Linked DNA regions of Saccharomyces cerevisiae S288C. The protein of the gene in region 1 purifies or fractionates together with the protein of each later gene. This does not show direct contact. Each region holds a gene or a part of one and is shown in the gene's direction. Other genes may lie near its edges.

What was found.
Region 2: the proteins of ESF1 (region 1) and UTP9 purify together in Saccharomyces cerevisiae (affinity purification with mass spectrometry, with the first as the bait; 2 studies listed by BioGRID). This does not show direct contact.
Region 3: the proteins of ESF1 (region 1) and ENP2 purify together in Saccharomyces cerevisiae (affinity purification with mass spectrometry, with the first as the bait; 3 studies listed by BioGRID). This does not show direct contact.

The regions. Positions count from the first base shown.
Region 1 is NC_001136.10:1,203,142-1,209,354, reverse strand, and holds ESF1 (pre-rRNA-processing protein ESF1), read left to right. Parts: upstream 1-2,971; coding exon 2,972-4,858; downstream 4,859-6,213. Other genes in the region: YDR365W-A (gag protein), read right to left, coding at 1,036-2,358; CDC40 (Cdc40p), read left to right, coding at 5,145-6,213. UniProt on the Saccharomyces cerevisiae protein: Involved in the 18S rRNA synthesis. Required for the early cleavages at sites A0, A1 and A2.
Region 2 is NC_001140.6:489,959-494,158, forward strand, and holds UTP9 (Utp9p), read left to right. Parts: upstream 1-1,972; coding exon 1,973-3,700; downstream 3,701-4,200. Other genes in the region: MDM31 (Mdm31p), read left to right, coding at 1-438; NVJ1 (Nvj1p), read left to right, coding at 789-1,754; RIX1 (Rix1p), read left to right, coding at 3,938-4,200. UniProt on the Saccharomyces cerevisiae protein: Involved in nucleolar processing of pre-18S ribosomal RNA. Required for optimal pre-ribosomal RNA transcription by RNA polymerase I together with a subset of U3 proteins required for transcription (t-UTPs).
Region 3 is NC_001139.9:779,066-785,543, forward strand, and holds ENP2 (ribosome biosynthesis protein ENP2), read left to right. Parts: upstream 1-2,701; coding exon 2,702-4,825; downstream 4,826-6,478. Other genes in the region: THI4 (thiamine thiazole synthase), read left to right, coding at 1,334-2,314; ECL1 (Ecl1p), read right to left, coding at 5,158-5,793; YGR146C-A (uncharacterized protein), read right to left, coding at 6,211-6,372. UniProt on the Saccharomyces cerevisiae protein: May be involved in rRNA-processing and ribosome biosynthesis.

The DNA.
Region 1 (6,213 bases):
AGTTGAGTACGGCAGTCATCTAATAAGGTACGGTTTAGCCGTTCAGCGACTCCATGTGCTCGGGAATCCGCTGTGGTTGTATAGCATGGAGTTATACCATTTTTTTCAAGGAATTTATGGAGAGTTCTGTTAGTATACTCAGAACCACGGTCCATTTGTATAACCAAGACACTGGCCTGAAACTGGTTCTTAATAAAAGCTAGTATCGTAGTAAAAACATCGAGGATAGAGTCCTCGCGACGGTCGTGTAATGGATAAACCCAACGGAATTTTGTTGTCTCATCAGTAAATGAGATGAAATAGGATGGTGCACTATTTGGTAGGTTGTGAACTGGACCAAATATGTCAGTATGTAGGTATTGAAAGGGTTCGTATGAATTTTGGTATTTTAGTCGTGAACCTTTGATATGTCTGTGTTTGGTGCTTTTGCCGATTAAACAATCAGGACATTGATAGTCAATAGCACTAGACCAGTCGACATCTGATTCGTTAAAATACGTGATGGTGTTATTTTTAAGTGAGTATCGAATTGTCTGTGCATTGGCATGCGCAAGCATTCGATGAATGAAAGGATAAGGATATTTGCGTGTACTTTCACTTGTATGGACATTATTGATGGTGGGTACGGAGATATTTGATGGAAGCAAGTACCTTTTAGATACCCAGTAAAAGTCTCCATATTGTACGATAGGTGCAAGTACAGTGCCGTCAGATCGTTCTAAGACGTTTTTGGTAAAGCATGCTGTGATATCTACTGCAGCCAATTCATTCAAACTGAGTAAGTCATAGGCTATGTTAGGAGTGTGCAATACCTTTATTGATGTTTTGGTGTTGTCCTGGAAGTGAAATTGTAGGTCACCAATAGCGTTAATTGGTATATTTCTTTTTTGAGCATCAACTACGTTTATGTCAGGATTAGATGATGCTGAGTGTATGTGATGAGCAGATCTTATAAGGGTTCGTGATGCTCCTGAATCGAGAAGGAGGTGTCCAGGGAGTTCATCATCAGAATGATTAGTGTGATTTACCGTAGATTCAGTAAGTTCCTGGCCTAAGGTGAAGGTCGTGCTTATTGTTCAATTGAATCGGTTCAGTAGTTGATTTACTGATGGAATCGTTGTCCGTGCTGGGAGAGTTATTAGATGTGGATACATTGTGAGCCCTGGCTGTTTTCGATTTCGAATTATTTGTTTTTTGAGGATTCCGAGCTATAACTTTGGGTTTGGTTGTATTCGTATAGCTGCGAGAATCATTCTTCTCATCACTCAGATTTCTCCTGTAATTAGGTTTGCTGTTTCTCGATCCCTGTTGTTCTTCATAAATAGCATGGATATCTAAGAACAGTTCAGCGACTGTCATATTTAGATGTCGATGACGTGTGTAGCGTAAAAATTTATATTCGCCAGATAGACCTCTCATAATTAATTGGCATGCGACCTTGTTATTGATATGAATGCCATTATTGTTCAGTCTGTCGATAATGTTTGTGACTTTTGTTTCAAATGCATCTGCAGGTGTACTGCCATTATATTGCAAATTTGCCAGGGTCACAATGTCGTTTGCCTCTTGGGTATCAGATTGCATTTTTTCAATACTTTTGGAAAGAATTTTCATGATATCCGTATAATCAACGGATAGGATGTCTTTGACCCAGGTAGGTAGGAATTGAGAGGGAGCAAATATTTGAAAAGTGTTATACAAGAAGGTGAGTTCATCATCAGTGATCTGACGTACGGGTTTTCCGTTTACTGTCGGAATAATACCACCGAGATTCGAGTTTTGTAAAAATTTGATGTATGTTTTAACCCAATTTGGAAAGTCATTAGGTGAGGTTAACATTGGTGGTGGTCTGACATATTTTTTAGTGGATGTCATATCAGAGTCCGCTGAGGATGAATCAGTAAATGTATTACCTGACTCAGGTGATGGAGTGCTCAGAGGCGTTCCAACTGATGATGGATACTGCGGAAACTGTGATTGTGGCCCAGGTGGAAAGTACATAGGCGACATTTGATAAGGTGTATACGGAATCATAGATGGGTGTCCGTAAAATGACCAACCAGATGGATTGGCTTGGTTTTGGGTCATCATGCACTGCTGTGGGTACGGCCCATTCTGTGGAGGTGGTACTGAAGCAGGTTGAGGAGAGGCATGATGGGGGTTCTCTGGAACAGCTGATGAAGCAGGTGTTGTTGTCTGTTGAGAGTTAGCCTTAGTGGAAGCCTTCTCACATTCTTCTGTTTTGGAAGCTGAAACGTCTAACGGATCTTGATTTGTGTGGACTTCCTTAGAAGTAACCGAAGCACAGGCGCTACCATGAGAAATGGGTGAATGTTGAGATAATTGTTGGGATTCCATTGTTGATAAAGGCTATAATATTAGGTATACAGAATATACTAGAAGTTCTCCTCAAGGATTTAGGAATCCATAAAAGGGAATCTGCAATTCTACACAATTCTATAAATATTATTATCATCATTTTATATGTTTATATTCATTGATCCTATTACATTATCAATCCTTGCGTTTCAGCTTCCACTAATTTAGATGACTATTTCTCATCATTTGCGTCATCTTCTAACACCGTATATGATAATATACTAGTAATGTAAATACTAGTTAGTAGATGATAGTTGATTTCTATTCCAACATGCTTCAACAATCTCGGAAGCATCGCTCAGAAGCGCAAATACAACTCTGTGTCTACTATGCCAAGAGAGGACGATTGAAATCTGCTAATAGCCCTATATCCAAAGATTAGCAATATGAGCCGGGCCAAATATCCCAGATGAGGCTACCGATCATTATTGACGTTCCGAAATTTTTCAGTTACAGAAAAAATTTCATCTCATCTCATCTCAAATTCATCATTAGCATAATGGTACAAATAATAAATATCACATAACTGTGGGTCCGGAATATTTTTCAAGACATTTCAGCGGATCGTATAAGGTTGCAAGAAAAATTGAAGATGGCTGGAGAGAACCCAAAGAAGGAAGGTGTAGATGCTAGGTTTGCCGGGATCTACAGCGATCCTAAATTTAAGAACACGAAAACCAAAGATCATAAGATCAAGTTAGATTCTAGGTTCAGTAAGAAGGATCTGGAGGTCCAGCATAAATCTAAGGTTGACAAGTATGGTAGAAAGATCAAAAATGCGCAGAATAACAGGGAATTGGAAGATTTCGACAAATATTTCGAAAAGGAAGCAGAAAATGATGAAGATTCAGAAGTTAATGCGAAAACAGTAGTGGACCGTGCCCGTGGTGAAGTTCCTGATGATTATGTTAGCTCTTCTGATGAATTCACTTCTTCTGATTCTGAATCGTCCGGAGAAAGTGAAGTTGAAAGCGAAGAAGAAAATGAAGTAGAAATTGAAAATGCCAAACCAGAATCTGGTGACATCTCTAAGAATTTGGCCGTCGTAAATTTAGATTGGGACCATGTTAAATCTGAGGATTTGATGATTACCTTTTCCAGTTTCGTTCCTAAAGGTGGTAAAATTGAAAGAGTTGCTATTTATCCAAGTGAATTTGGTAAAGAAAGAATGCAACGCGAGGAAGTTGAAGGACCTCCAAAGGAACTTTTCCAAAAGAAAAATAAGAACAAAACCTCCAAAAAGAAGAAAACTGATGACTCTGATTCTGATATGGACATCGGTATTAAGGATCTTTATGAAGAGGGAGATGCTGACAAGGACGTGGATTCCAGAGCTTTACGTCAATACCAGTTGGACAGATTAAGATATTATTACGCAATAGTTTATTGTAGTGATACAACCACCTCCAAAGCTATCTATGATAACTGTGATGGTACCGAATATGAGTCAACCGCTAATATGTTCGATTTAAGGTATGTTCCTGATGGTATGACTTTTGATGATGATGTAAGAGATGAATGCAGTATATTGCCTAAGAACTATAGGCCACACCAGTTTAGCACAGATGCTCTACAACATTCAAGCGTCAAATTGACCTGGGATGAAACGCCAGCTGATAGGGTCGAAGTTGCTAAGAGGGCCTTTACCCAAAAGGAAATTGATGATATGGACTTTAAGGCTTACTTGGCGTCAGATAGTGATGAATCGGATGGGCAGGTCGATGAAGAGGCGAAAAATAAACTAAAGTCGTTGGTTGGTGACTTTGGGTTTAATTCCAAGAAAGAAACCCCTAACGATGAAGATGAAGAAGTTGATATGGAAATTACATTTACTCCAGCCTTGGAAGGAGGAAACGAGAAATCGTCGGAAGACAAAGAAGAAACGACTATAGAGAAAATAAGAAGAAAAGAGAAGGAACGTCGTAAAGCAAGAAAGCAGAAAGTAAAGGAATTGAAACAGCAGTCGGAGAAGGATAAGAAAAGCAAGTTGAAATCTGTTAATAAAAAGCATACTAACGATGAAGAGGAGATCGAAAAGAATGCCAAATCAAAGGCTGAATTGGAGCTTTTAATGGATGATGATGATGATACCGAAACTCAGGGCACAATAAATAACAAAGCACATTTCAACATGAACGAAATCTTAAGATCAGAAAAAGAAAAACACAAGAAAGGCCGGTATCAAAAGAAAGAGAGAATTGTTGAAGACACCTTTACACCTGATTTAGAAGATCCTAGATTTAAAGAAGTCTTCGAAGATCACGATTTTGCTATCGACCCGACCCAGCCTGAATTCAAAGGTACACAAGCTATGAGTAAAATCCTAAAAGAACGTAGTAAACGTGTTAAGAATAAGAAAAGAAAACTTGGCGGTAGTGAAAACAATATGACCAATAACGCAGATGATAATGAAGATATTGGTAACTTGGTAAACAAGTTGAAAAAGAAAAGCAAATCATCCAAGAAGGTAAAGGTTTAAAGCAGTCAATGAAATAGTATTTAAATGAAACTTGAATACAAATAGATATGTACAATTATAAAGAATGCATCATTGGATTTGTAGTTGATATCAATTATCGTAATGTTTCTCTGACCGGTTCTTGTAATACCATTTCTTTGAATTTTCTTTTTTGTATTTTGTCTTATTTACGAGGGAGTACTGTGTCCTTGCTAGAGATGAGGTAAAAAAAAAATCTTGAAATTTTTCCTTTATTTTTGGCCAAATAGTGCAACAAACACGGCATGTACTTTGAAGAGCAGATGAAATGGGTTTAGTAGACGGTTATGACACAAGCTCAGACTCTGATTTGAACTTCGACGAAGGCAAATCTGTTCATGAAAAGAAAAATGGTAATTTGCATGAAGATACTTCGTATGAACCTTCTTCAAATAATATTCATAAGAGAAAATCACATTTTACAAAGTCAGAACTAAAAAGAAGACGGAAAACTCGCAAAGGAGATGGGCCGTGGGGCAGTTGGTCAAGTAGTGACGATGAAACTTCACAAGCCAGCGAAACTCAGAAAGAAGATCAGGATATCTTCGTGCACGCGCTGGCTGAGGACAACCTAGATTCGGAACAGATAGAGGTAGAGGAAGTCTCCCATTTTTATGGTAAATCAGAAAAGGACTATCAAGGCAGAGGATATTTATATCCACCAAATGACGTCGATGTTGATCTTCGTGAGGAAAGGATATCCTTTCGGTGTTACTTACCAAAAAAAGTTATACGTAATTATCCGGGGCATCCAGAAGGAACCACTGCCCTGAAATTCTTACCTAAAACTGGACACTTAATTCTCTCTGGTGGTAATGATCATACTATAAAAATTTGGGATTTCTACCATGACTATGAATGCCTACGAGATTTTCAAGGTCATAACAAGCCTATTAAAGCATTACGATTCACCGAAGACTGTCAATCTTTTTTGAGCTCTTCCTTTGATAGAAGCGTTAAAATTTGGGATACTGAAACTGGTAAAGTGAAAACCAGGTTGCACCTTAATTCAACGCCTGCAGATGTTGAATCTCGGCCCACTAACCCACATGAGTTCATTGTAGGTTTATCGAATTCGAAAATATTACATTATGATGATCGTGTTTCAGAAAATCAAGGTCTTGTGCAGACATATGATCATCACCTAAGTAGCATTCTGGCTCTCAAGTATTTTCCCGATGGTTCGAAGTTTATTTCTTCTTCAGAGGATAAGACGGTAAGAATTTGGGAAAATCAGATCAATGTACCAATAAAACAAATAAGTGACACGGCTCAACATTCTATGCCATTTTTAAATGTACATCCGTCTCAGAACTATTTCTGTGCACAAAGCATGG
Region 2 (4,200 bases), on another chromosome or scaffold:
GCGAAAAGGTACACTTCATCCCTTCCTCTGGTTGGGCCAGGATTCTCCCCGGCCGTTGATGAAATTGACCCGAACGACTACTTTATTATGGACTTTTCTTTAAGACTATACAATGTCAAAGCCGAAGTCCCTCTGTTCACTTCTGGCTTAACGTATATCAATAGTGCATTGATAAGGCCTATTGTCGGGTACATCAATTCTCACAGGACATACATCCCAATCAAATGCCGCATTGTAAAGAAAAAGTCTGATTTTGAGGGCTCCTGGACCATATATGATTCATACCTTATGCGGGATCTAAGTGCGGAAGCGTACGATGCCTTCGCCGACTACGTCGCTGACGATGAAAAGAGGACATTACGCTTGAGAAGGGTGGGCTTTTGGTCACTGCAACTTATACTCCAGGTGATTTTGATGAGTCTCGGTGCTATCGCGTGAGGAATACCTACTCCTGTCACTTTCTGTACATATGCATTTACATAGCATCGTTCTTTCTATCAGTTTATCTAATTTGTGACGCATCTTTCTTCTTTCTACACTGCGGAAAATCCTATTTGAAAAAAAATAGACGAAAAATATCAGGACCCACCCCCTTATGAAGGAGAGAAGGGGAAGAGGAGCTGCAAAACAAAAAGGTGAGGCTTCTTCTGTCCAGATTTTTGTGAGTGAGAGAGTGTGTGGGAAGAGAAGGAATTAAACCAAACAAAAATTGGAACCAACAACTGTTGCGTTTGCGTGTGTGCATAATATCAAAAAAGCTACAAATATAATTGTAAAATATAATAAGCATGACTCGTCCCCCATTGGTTCGTGGAATCTTTTCGTTAGGTCTTTCTGTAGCCGTTTTGAAAGGTGTTGAAAAAACAGTTCGTAAGCATTTGGAAAGACAGGGATGGATAGAGCCCCAGAAAGTGGACTATGAGTTAATTTTCACTATAGATAGGTTGAAAAACTTGGTAGATAATAAGCGTGAGGCTTTAACTGCGGAACAACCCGACGCTGGTGAACTGAGCTGGCGTAAAGTATTTAATTTCATTTCCAGACAATCCAGCGAATTGGACACACGAATATACGTTCTTATACTACTCCTATCCTTTCTACTACCTATCGCGTGGACTGTACTGGACGGTGATCGCGAGACCACGCTAGAAGATAAGGATAACGATTGTAATGTAGATCTTATTGAAAACGAAAGGAGGCTGAAGCATTACAACGATGGTGAAAGAGCAGTATTGCAATTTGGTAAAAATAGATCCGAACCTATTATATTAAGCTATAAGGACATGAACGTTTTGGAAGGGGAACATGAGTTTACCTCCAAAGAGGAACACAGTAACAGCCATTTGACAAGCAAGAGCGAAAATGCACTAAACCAAGTAGGGAGTGAAGATTTGTTAGGTTGTCACCTGGAAAAGCAATTGGAAGAAGACAAAAATGAACCGAATGGAGAAGCAGACGGTGAGGATGATAATAACCGGGAAAAGGATTGCAGCTCCAGTTCAGAAGTTGAGTCGCAGAGTAAATGCCGAAAGGAAAGTACTGCAGAGCCTGACTCTCTCTCACGGGATACCAGAACAACCTCTTCCCTTAAATCAAGTACATCATTCCCCATATCATTCAAGGGCTCGATAGACCTTAAGTCGTTAAACCAGCCTTCATCATTGTTGCATATACAAGTATCTCCCACAAAATCTAGTAATCTAGATGCACAAGTGAACACTGAACAAGCATACTCTCAACCATTTAGATACTAATGTACTATATTTCCGTCATCTCGGTTATCATCGTCACTTACAACGAGGTGCGAAAATTTTTTTCTTCTAAAGGTGAGAAGAAAACATGAAAAATTTTGAAAAATTTAACGATGAGATGGAGTTTTCAAGTAACTTTATGTAGTTGAAATACATATTAGTACTCCGTTGCAATATATAACGCCGGGCATTCTCCACGTATATACATACCGTAGTGCACAATGGGCTCCTCTTTGGATTTGGTGGCGAGCTTCTCGCATGATTCCACTCGTTTTGCATTCCAAGCAAGCGTCGCACAAAAGAACAATGTGGATATTTATCCATTAAATGAAACTAAGGATTATGTGGTCAATAGTTCATTAGTGAGTCATATTGACTATGAGACAAACGATATGAAGGTTTCAGATGTAATCTTCTTTGGGTGGTGTAGTGATTTGATAGATACGCAGTCATCCAATATCAAAAGAAAATTAGATGAAGATGAAGGAACTGGTGAATCAAGTGAGCAAAGATGTGAAAACTTTTTCGTTAACGGATTTCCTGACGGAAGAATTGTTGTTTACTCTTCTAATGGTAAGGATATAGTTAATATCATCAAGAATAAAAAAGAGATTTTGGGAGCAGACACAGACGAGTCTGATATATGGATTTTGGATAGTGATAAAGTCGTTAAGAAATTACAGTATAACAATTCGAAACCTCTAAAGACTTTTACGCTAGTTGATGGTAAAGATGACGAAATAGTTCATTTCCAAATTTTGCACCAAAATGGCACTTTATTGGTATGCATTATTACTAAACAGATGGTTTATATTGTTGATCCATCAAAGAGAAGACCCTCTACTAAGTATAGTTTTGAAATATCAGACGCTGTAGCATGTGAATTTTCTTCAGACGGTAAGTATCTGTTAATTGCCAACAACGAAGAATTAATAGCTTACGACTTGAAGGAAGATTCAAAGCTGATCCAATCATGGCCTGTCCAAGTGAAGACATTGAAAACTTTAGATGATTTGATAATGGCTTTGACTACTGATGGTAAAATTAATAATTATAAGATTGGCGAAGCCGACAAAGTTTGTTCTATAGTTGTAAATGAAGATTTGGAAATTATAGATTTCACGCCAATAAACAGCAAGCAACAGGTTCTAATTTCATGGCTAAATGTCAATGAACCCAACTTTGAATCTATTTCTTTAAAAGAAATTGAAACTCAGGGGTATATTACAATAAACAAAAATGAAAAAAATAATGCTGATGAAGCGGACCAAAAGAAATTAGAAGAGAAAGAAGAAGAAGCTCAGCCTGAAGTTCAACATGAGAAGAAGGAGACTGAAACTAAGATAAACAAGAAAGTTAGTAAATCAGATCAAGTTGAAATTGCTAATATTCTCTCATCGCATTTAGAAGCTAATTCAACAGAAATATTGGATGATCTGATGTCTGGAAGTTGGACAGAACCAGAGATTAAAAAATTCATCTTAACCAAGATCAATACAGTAGATCATCTAAGTAAGATATTTTTGACTATATCAAAGTCAATAACACAAAATCCATGGAATGAAGAAAATTTACTTCCGTTGTGGCTTAAGTGGTTGCTGACTTTGAAAAGTGGGGAGTTAAATTCTATAAAGGATAAACATACAAAGAAAAATTGCAAGCATTTAAAATCTGCATTAAGATCTTCAGAGGAGATCTTGCCTGTTCTACTCGGTATACAAGGTAGATTAGAAATGTTGAGGAGGCAAGCAAAATTGAGAGAGGATCTTGCACAACTATCTATGCAAGAGGGTGAAGATGATGAAATAGAAGTTATAGAGCATTCAAATGTAATTAGTAATCCTTTGCAGGATCAAGCATCGCCTGTTGAAAAGCTTGAACCAGATTCAATTGTTTATGCAAATGGAGAAAGTGACGAATTTGTCGACGCATCGGAATACAAAGATTGATCAAGCATTTTAAATATATTTAAGTATATACAAAGAAAAGTTTCACATGAGAAGCACTGATTGATGCAGCTATTAATTTTCAAAAGATTACGTTGTCTTCATCATTTGAGACGGGTCATCGCAAGAAAATTTTTCAATATTAAACTATAATAAAATGTAGTAAAAAATAGATGCAATACTACTATTCAATTTTTGTGGTTTTCCAGTTATCAAACTAAGTATAGACAAAATTTGAGCATGTCAGAGGAATTTATCGCAGTTTCTACTTTGGCTAGAAACCTGGAAATTGCCAAGGGTAATGAGTTTCATACCATTTTGGCGACTTTAAGATCACCAGTTTATATCAATGAACAGCTGCTAAAATCCGAATTGAGCTTCCTTGTTACAAAAATCCTAAAACTTATCAGATCAGGCAATGACTTTGATCTTTGGAAAGGATGTCACACCTCTGTTGTGACTTGCGCCTATAATCCACTGGTCTTATCGACTCATGGAGGTCA
Region 3 (6,478 bases), on another chromosome or scaffold:
ATCACAATGGAATCCCAACAATTACATCAGAACCCACACTCTCTTCAATTATTATGTAGAAATTTCGATTCTATTTTGAGGATTCCTATACCCTCGAGTAGAAATTCTAGTATATCCTACATACCTAACATTATTGCTTTATCAATAATGGAATCCCAACAATTATTGTTACAGGCTACGATATTGCGTATAGAAAAAATGTTGAAAGTTCTTCTGCAAGATACAGGAATCCAAAGGGAATCAATATATCTACCTAATAGTATTATTATTTCTTTTCCATTTTATATGTTTCACTATCCTACTATTTCATCGATCCTCTTATTTAAGCTTTTATTAAACCTAATGACTGTTCTATAACTTTTATGTCCTCTTTTTACATCATAAATGATAATTAATATACTAGTGACATGAATACTAATCGATGGATGGTAGTTTGTTCTTATTCTATCAGGGAAATGCATCAGATAATGGATAAAATGGAAAGAATGGAAAGGAATTGTAACATGCCTATATATGGAAAACGAGCTTTTAGAGCTTTCAAGTTAACCCCGGGCGGTTAGTGTAGTGGTTATCATCCCACCCTTCCAAGGTGGGGACACGGGTTCGATTCTCGTACCGCTCAAGATTACTTTTTTAATTTTCATACTTTTTCTCCTAATATCTTGCAAATCATGACTGAATTGACATTAACTGATGCAAATGGGTGGGAAAAATGCTTATCAACCCCCTAAAAAGTCAACTTCTTCGTTAGTGATTGCTATATGTGGCGTCAAGAATTACAAGAAGCTGGCGAGCTTTCCAAGCCCCTTCAGGATTAACCGTTTTTTACCCTTTTTTTACAAATTTACGGCGGGGAATAATTCTGATACTTTCTCTTTATGAGCATTCCTCAACAGGGATCGGCACTCAATTGCTTTAGTGAATAGTTTTTTTTTACGCCAAGAACATTTACCACCCCATTTTCCTGTAGACGTCCAAAACGATACTCTACTTTAAGCCCTTTTTCTGAAGTTTTCATAAAATGTCCGATCTCCTAACGTCATTTTTAAAATCAAATGGTCTTTTAATAATTATGCACGTTAAAAAACATACATAATTGATAGTAAAGAATCTGGTATTCTATCAGTTACCAAGTTCAATCGTAAATTTTTTTACGAGCACTAATAGAAATGGATCATGAAATTGATTTTTTGATTTTCAATTTATGAACTACCCAGATATATAAATATTGGAATAAATTGTGTATTAAGTAGTCGGGAAATATCTTTTATGTTCTCTTTCTTATCATCTAGAAATAATAAATCACAACCAAAAAAATCAACTAACTATCAAAATGTCTGCTACCTCTACTGCTACTTCCACAAGTGCCTCTCAATTGCACTTAAACTCTACTCCAGTTACTCACTGCTTATCTGACATCGTTAAGAAAGAAGATTGGTCTGACTTTAAATTTGCTCCCATCCGCGAATCCACTGTCTCTCGTGCTATGACTTCTCGTTATTTCAAGGATCTTGACAAGTTTGCCGTTTCTGACGTGATTATTGTCGGTGCGGGCTCTTCAGGTTTATCCGCCGCTTACGTCATCGCCAAGAACAGACCAGACTTGAAGGTTTGTATTATCGAAAGTTCAGTTGCACCAGGTGGTGGTAGTTGGTTGGGTGGTCAATTATTTAGTGCCATGGTTATGAGAAAACCAGCTCATTTGTTCTTACAAGAGTTGGAAATCCCTTACGAAGACGAAGGTGACTATGTTGTCGTTAAGCATGCCGCTTTGTTCATCTCTACTGTCCTTTCAAAGGTCTTGCAATTACCAAATGTTAAACTGTTCAATGCTACCTGTGTTGAAGATTTGGTTACCAGACCACCTACCGAAAAGGGCGAAGTCACCGTTGCTGGTGTTGTCACCAACTGGACGTTAGTTACCCAAGCTCACGGTACTCAATGTTGCATGGACCCTAACGTAATTGAATTGGCAGGTTACAAAAATGACGGAACTCGTGACTTGAGTCAAAAGCATGGTGTCATTTTATCCACTACCGGTCATGATGGTCCATTTGGTGCTTTCTGCGCCAAGAGAATCGTCGACATTGATCAAAACCAAAAATTGGGCGGTATGAAGGGTCTGGACATGAACCATGCCGAACACGATGTCGTTATTCACTCTGGTGCATACGCCGGTGTTGACAACATGTACTTTGCTGGTATGGAAGTTGCTGAACTGGATGGATTAAACCGTATGGGTCCAACTTTTGGAGCTATGGCTTTGAGTGGTGTTCATGCTGCTGAGCAAATTTTGAAACACTTTGCTGCTTAGGCTTTTAATGAGGTATGCTTTTAAAGATTTATATATTTTTTATACACGCTATATACACAATTTTCGCTGATGATTTTGTTTTATTATTGATTTTTAAATTAACCGTAGAAAATACTAAGTGGAAAGATCCGATAGTGATGAGATAAGACTTTTAGTTATCTCTGTAATGGTGAGTTTTCGCACATCTTGCAATATTAAAAATATAAATCAATTCTTCAAATGTCACTTCATGGTCGGGTAACCAAATATGATCTTAAAAAAAATTAAGAAAAAAAAAAATTGAAAATTTTGAGCTAAGCTCATCTCATCTCATCGGCTGTAATCAGTAACACATCATTTATTACATCAGTTACAGGTATCAACATATATCTTCAAAAAGGGGACATTATGGTTTTGAAATCTACTTCCGCAAATGATGTTTCAGTATATCAGGTTTCTGGTACAAACGTTTCAAGATCACTTCCAGACTGGATTGCGAAAAAGCGCAAAAGGCAATTAAAGAATGATTTAGAATATCAAAATAGAGTAGAACTGATTCAAGATTTTGAATTTAGCGAAGCCTCCAATAAGATTAAAGTGAGTAGAGATGGGCAATATTGCATGGCTACCGGTACATACAAACCTCAGATCCATGTCTACGATTTTGCTAATTTGTCACTGAAGTTCGATAGACACACAGATGCTGAAAACGTGGATTTCACTATTCTCTCTGACGATTGGACTAAAAGTGTACATTTACAAAATGATAGAAGTATTCAATTCCAAAACAAAGGTGGTCTACATTACACCACAAGAATTCCTAAATTTGGGAGAAGTTTAGTTTACAATAAGGTAAACTGTGATTTATATGTTGGTGCGAGCGGTAATGAGTTATACAGGTTGAACTTGGAAAAGGGGAGATTTTTAAACCCATTCAAGTTGGATACTGAAGGCGTGAACCATGTTTCTATCAATGAAGTAAATGGGTTGTTAGCGGCAGGCACGGAAACAAATGTAGTGGAATTCTGGGATCCAAGGTCGCGTTCCCGTGTTTCAAAGCTATATTTAGAGAACAATATTGACAACAGACCATTCCAAGTCACCACAACCAGTTTCCGTAATGACGGGTTAACTTTTGCATGTGGTACGTCGAACGGTTATTCATACATTTATGACTTGCGTACTTCTGAACCTTCCATTATTAAAGACCAAGGTTATGGGTTTGACATTAAGAAAATTATTTGGTTGGATAACGTCGGCACGGAAAATAAAATTGTTACATGTGACAAGAGAATTGCAAAAATATGGGATAGACTAGATGGTAAGGCATACGCTTCTATGGAGCCTAGTGTTGATATTAACGACATTGAGCATGTACCAGGTACAGGTATGTTTTTCACCGCTAACGAAAGTATTCCCATGCATACATATTATATTCCAAGTTTAGGACCATCTCCACGCTGGTGCTCATTCTTGGATTCTATCACAGAAGAATTAGAAGAAAAACCAAGTGACACTGTTTACTCTAACTACAGGTTCATTACTAGAGACGACGTTAAAAAATTGAATTTAACGCACTTGGTGGGATCCAGAGTATTAAGAGCATACATGCATGGTTTCTTTATTAACACTGAACTTTACGATAAGGTTTCATTAATTGCTAATCCAGATGCCTACAAAGATGAAAGAGAAAGAGAAATTAGACGTAGAATTGAGAAAGAAAGAGAATCCAGAATCAGAAGTTCAGGGGCTGTTCAAAAACCTAAAATTAAAGTCAATAAAACATTGGTTGATAAACTATCTCAAAAACGTGGTGATAAAGTTGCAGGAAAGGTTCTTACGGATGACCGTTTCAAAGAAATGTTTGAGGATGAAGAATTTCAAGTCGATGAAGATGACTATGATTTCAAACAATTGAATCCAGTAAAATCCATCAAAGAAACCGAAGAAGGTGCTGCTAAACGTATTAGGGCGCTAACTGCTGCCGAAGAGTCCGACGAAGAAAGAATTGCAATGAAGGATGGCAGAGGTCACTATGACTACGAGGATGAAGAGTCTGATGAAGAAGAATCTGATGATGAAACGAACCAAAAGTCAAATAAGGAAGAATTAAGTGAAAAAGATTTGAGAAAGATGGAAAAGCAAAAGGCACTAATTGAACGCAGAAAGAAGGAAAAGGAGCAAAGCGAACGTTTTATGAACGAAATGAAAGCCGGCACTTCCACGAGTACGCAAAGAGACGAAAGTGCTCACGTTACATTTGGCGAACAAGTAGGCGAATTGCTTGAGGTGGAAAATGGAAAGAAATCAAATGAATCCATTTTACGTCGTAACCAACGCGGTGAAGCAGAACTTACTTTTATTCCTCAAAGAAAAAGCAAAAAAGACGGAAATTATAAATCCAGGCGTCATGATAATTCATCGGATGAAGAAGGTATTGACGAAAATGGTAATAAGAAGGACAATGGTAGGTCGAAGCCCAGATTCGAAAATAGAAGAAGAGCTAGCAAAAATGCGTTCCGTGGTATGTAGTTATATTAGAAATTGATATTTTAATTATCCTTTCACCTTAAACTAAAAATATTATATGTATGAAGACGAAGACAGCAAAAAGTATGCGTGATACAGTTTACATTATAGAATTCTTTCCCCAAATATTGAGGGTTTTGTTTTTTTTTTTTAATGCAGATGTACGTACATATTTTCTTTATCAAAAGGATGTGTAGAGAACTATGTATATATGTATATGTGTAGGTTTTTTTTTTTTAGGATGACTAGAAAAGGAAATCGAAAAAGAAAAAATAAGCATGAATCATGAGTAGGTTAAAGGCAAGTCGAAGAAGATACGAAGCAAGTGAAGCCGTTTAACTGGAGGATAGTCTAAACCATAGGTTGTAGTTATTCTCAATGATCTGATCTGAGATCAAATGATCATCAATTAGATCGTTTGATCGTGGCAAGTTGTTTTCGTAACCCAAATGTGCCTTTGAATGCAATTGGTAACTAGAATCGAGTCTAAGAGAGTCGGCTAAGTTCAAATAATGTTCATTTTCATCATATTCGTCAACACGAGAAGGATTAGACTCCTGCTTAGGATTGACTATACCATCCTGAGGTAGCAGCAATGGTGAAATTAATAAGGACTCTAGCTTCTCCAACTCGTCAAAGGGGATAGTTGAAGATGTCGGAGATGAAGATAGTGAGGTAGTCGGCTCGAAGAGGTTTGATGCAGTTAAATTTTTAGAATATGAAAGCGGTGGAGTGAGATTATGCGAATGAGAAGTTTTTGATTTTTTATGCAAGTGGGATAATAATTTCTCATTAAGAGGGTTCGAATCCTTCAGCTTACAATCTTCGGAGCAATATAACTTATTTGATTGTAAACTGCTCTTGGTTTCATTGTCCCTTTGGATCTTCCTGGTATTAATGTTCGTTTTCTGTGGAGATGTTGGAATGAGACGATCACAAACAGTGCAGTAATCGTTGAATGCGGTGCTCATTATATGATTGATATGCAAATCGGTAAAGAATACCTGAAAGGAGTGGAGGGATAAGAATAAAGTAATTATTCTCGAGCTTTTTTTATAAGGAAAAAAAGGAGAATCGGTAGCGGAGTATTGTTTCTCTATTCTTTCTTTGCTTACTCTGTTTTATAATTCTCACAAGTGTTCAATTTTTAACTTCTTGGGACAACACTATAGTTCTAAGTTCTTTAGACAGTTCAAAGACAGTTTACTCAATGGCGATGGCCTGTGTCAATGATTATATTGTATATATATATGTGTCCAAGTATGGATGTGAATGTATCTAAATTTTCCGAAATGCAAGAAATAAAATTCTCACAATTGGGGTGTTGAAACGGAAAAGATCGGTATTCCTTTAAATATAAGAATCACCACGTTTCAGGTCTCCAAGTTCTAGCTAAAGATCGTACAAACAAGTGCCAATTTGGGAAAAAAGGGCGGCCTAATTGTGAAAAAAAAAGATGCCCAACTGAAAGAAGGGCAATGAGCAATAGGGAATGTAAACGAATGCAATAAGAAAGCACACGTTAAATTACACTCAGGGAGGAACCCCATAATAAAAAAGTAAGAAAATTGAATGATCTGAACCCGGTGCGCAAAAGCGATGAGATGGGGCGATGAATGACGGTAATAAACACGGTAGCAAATACACCCGAGTCGT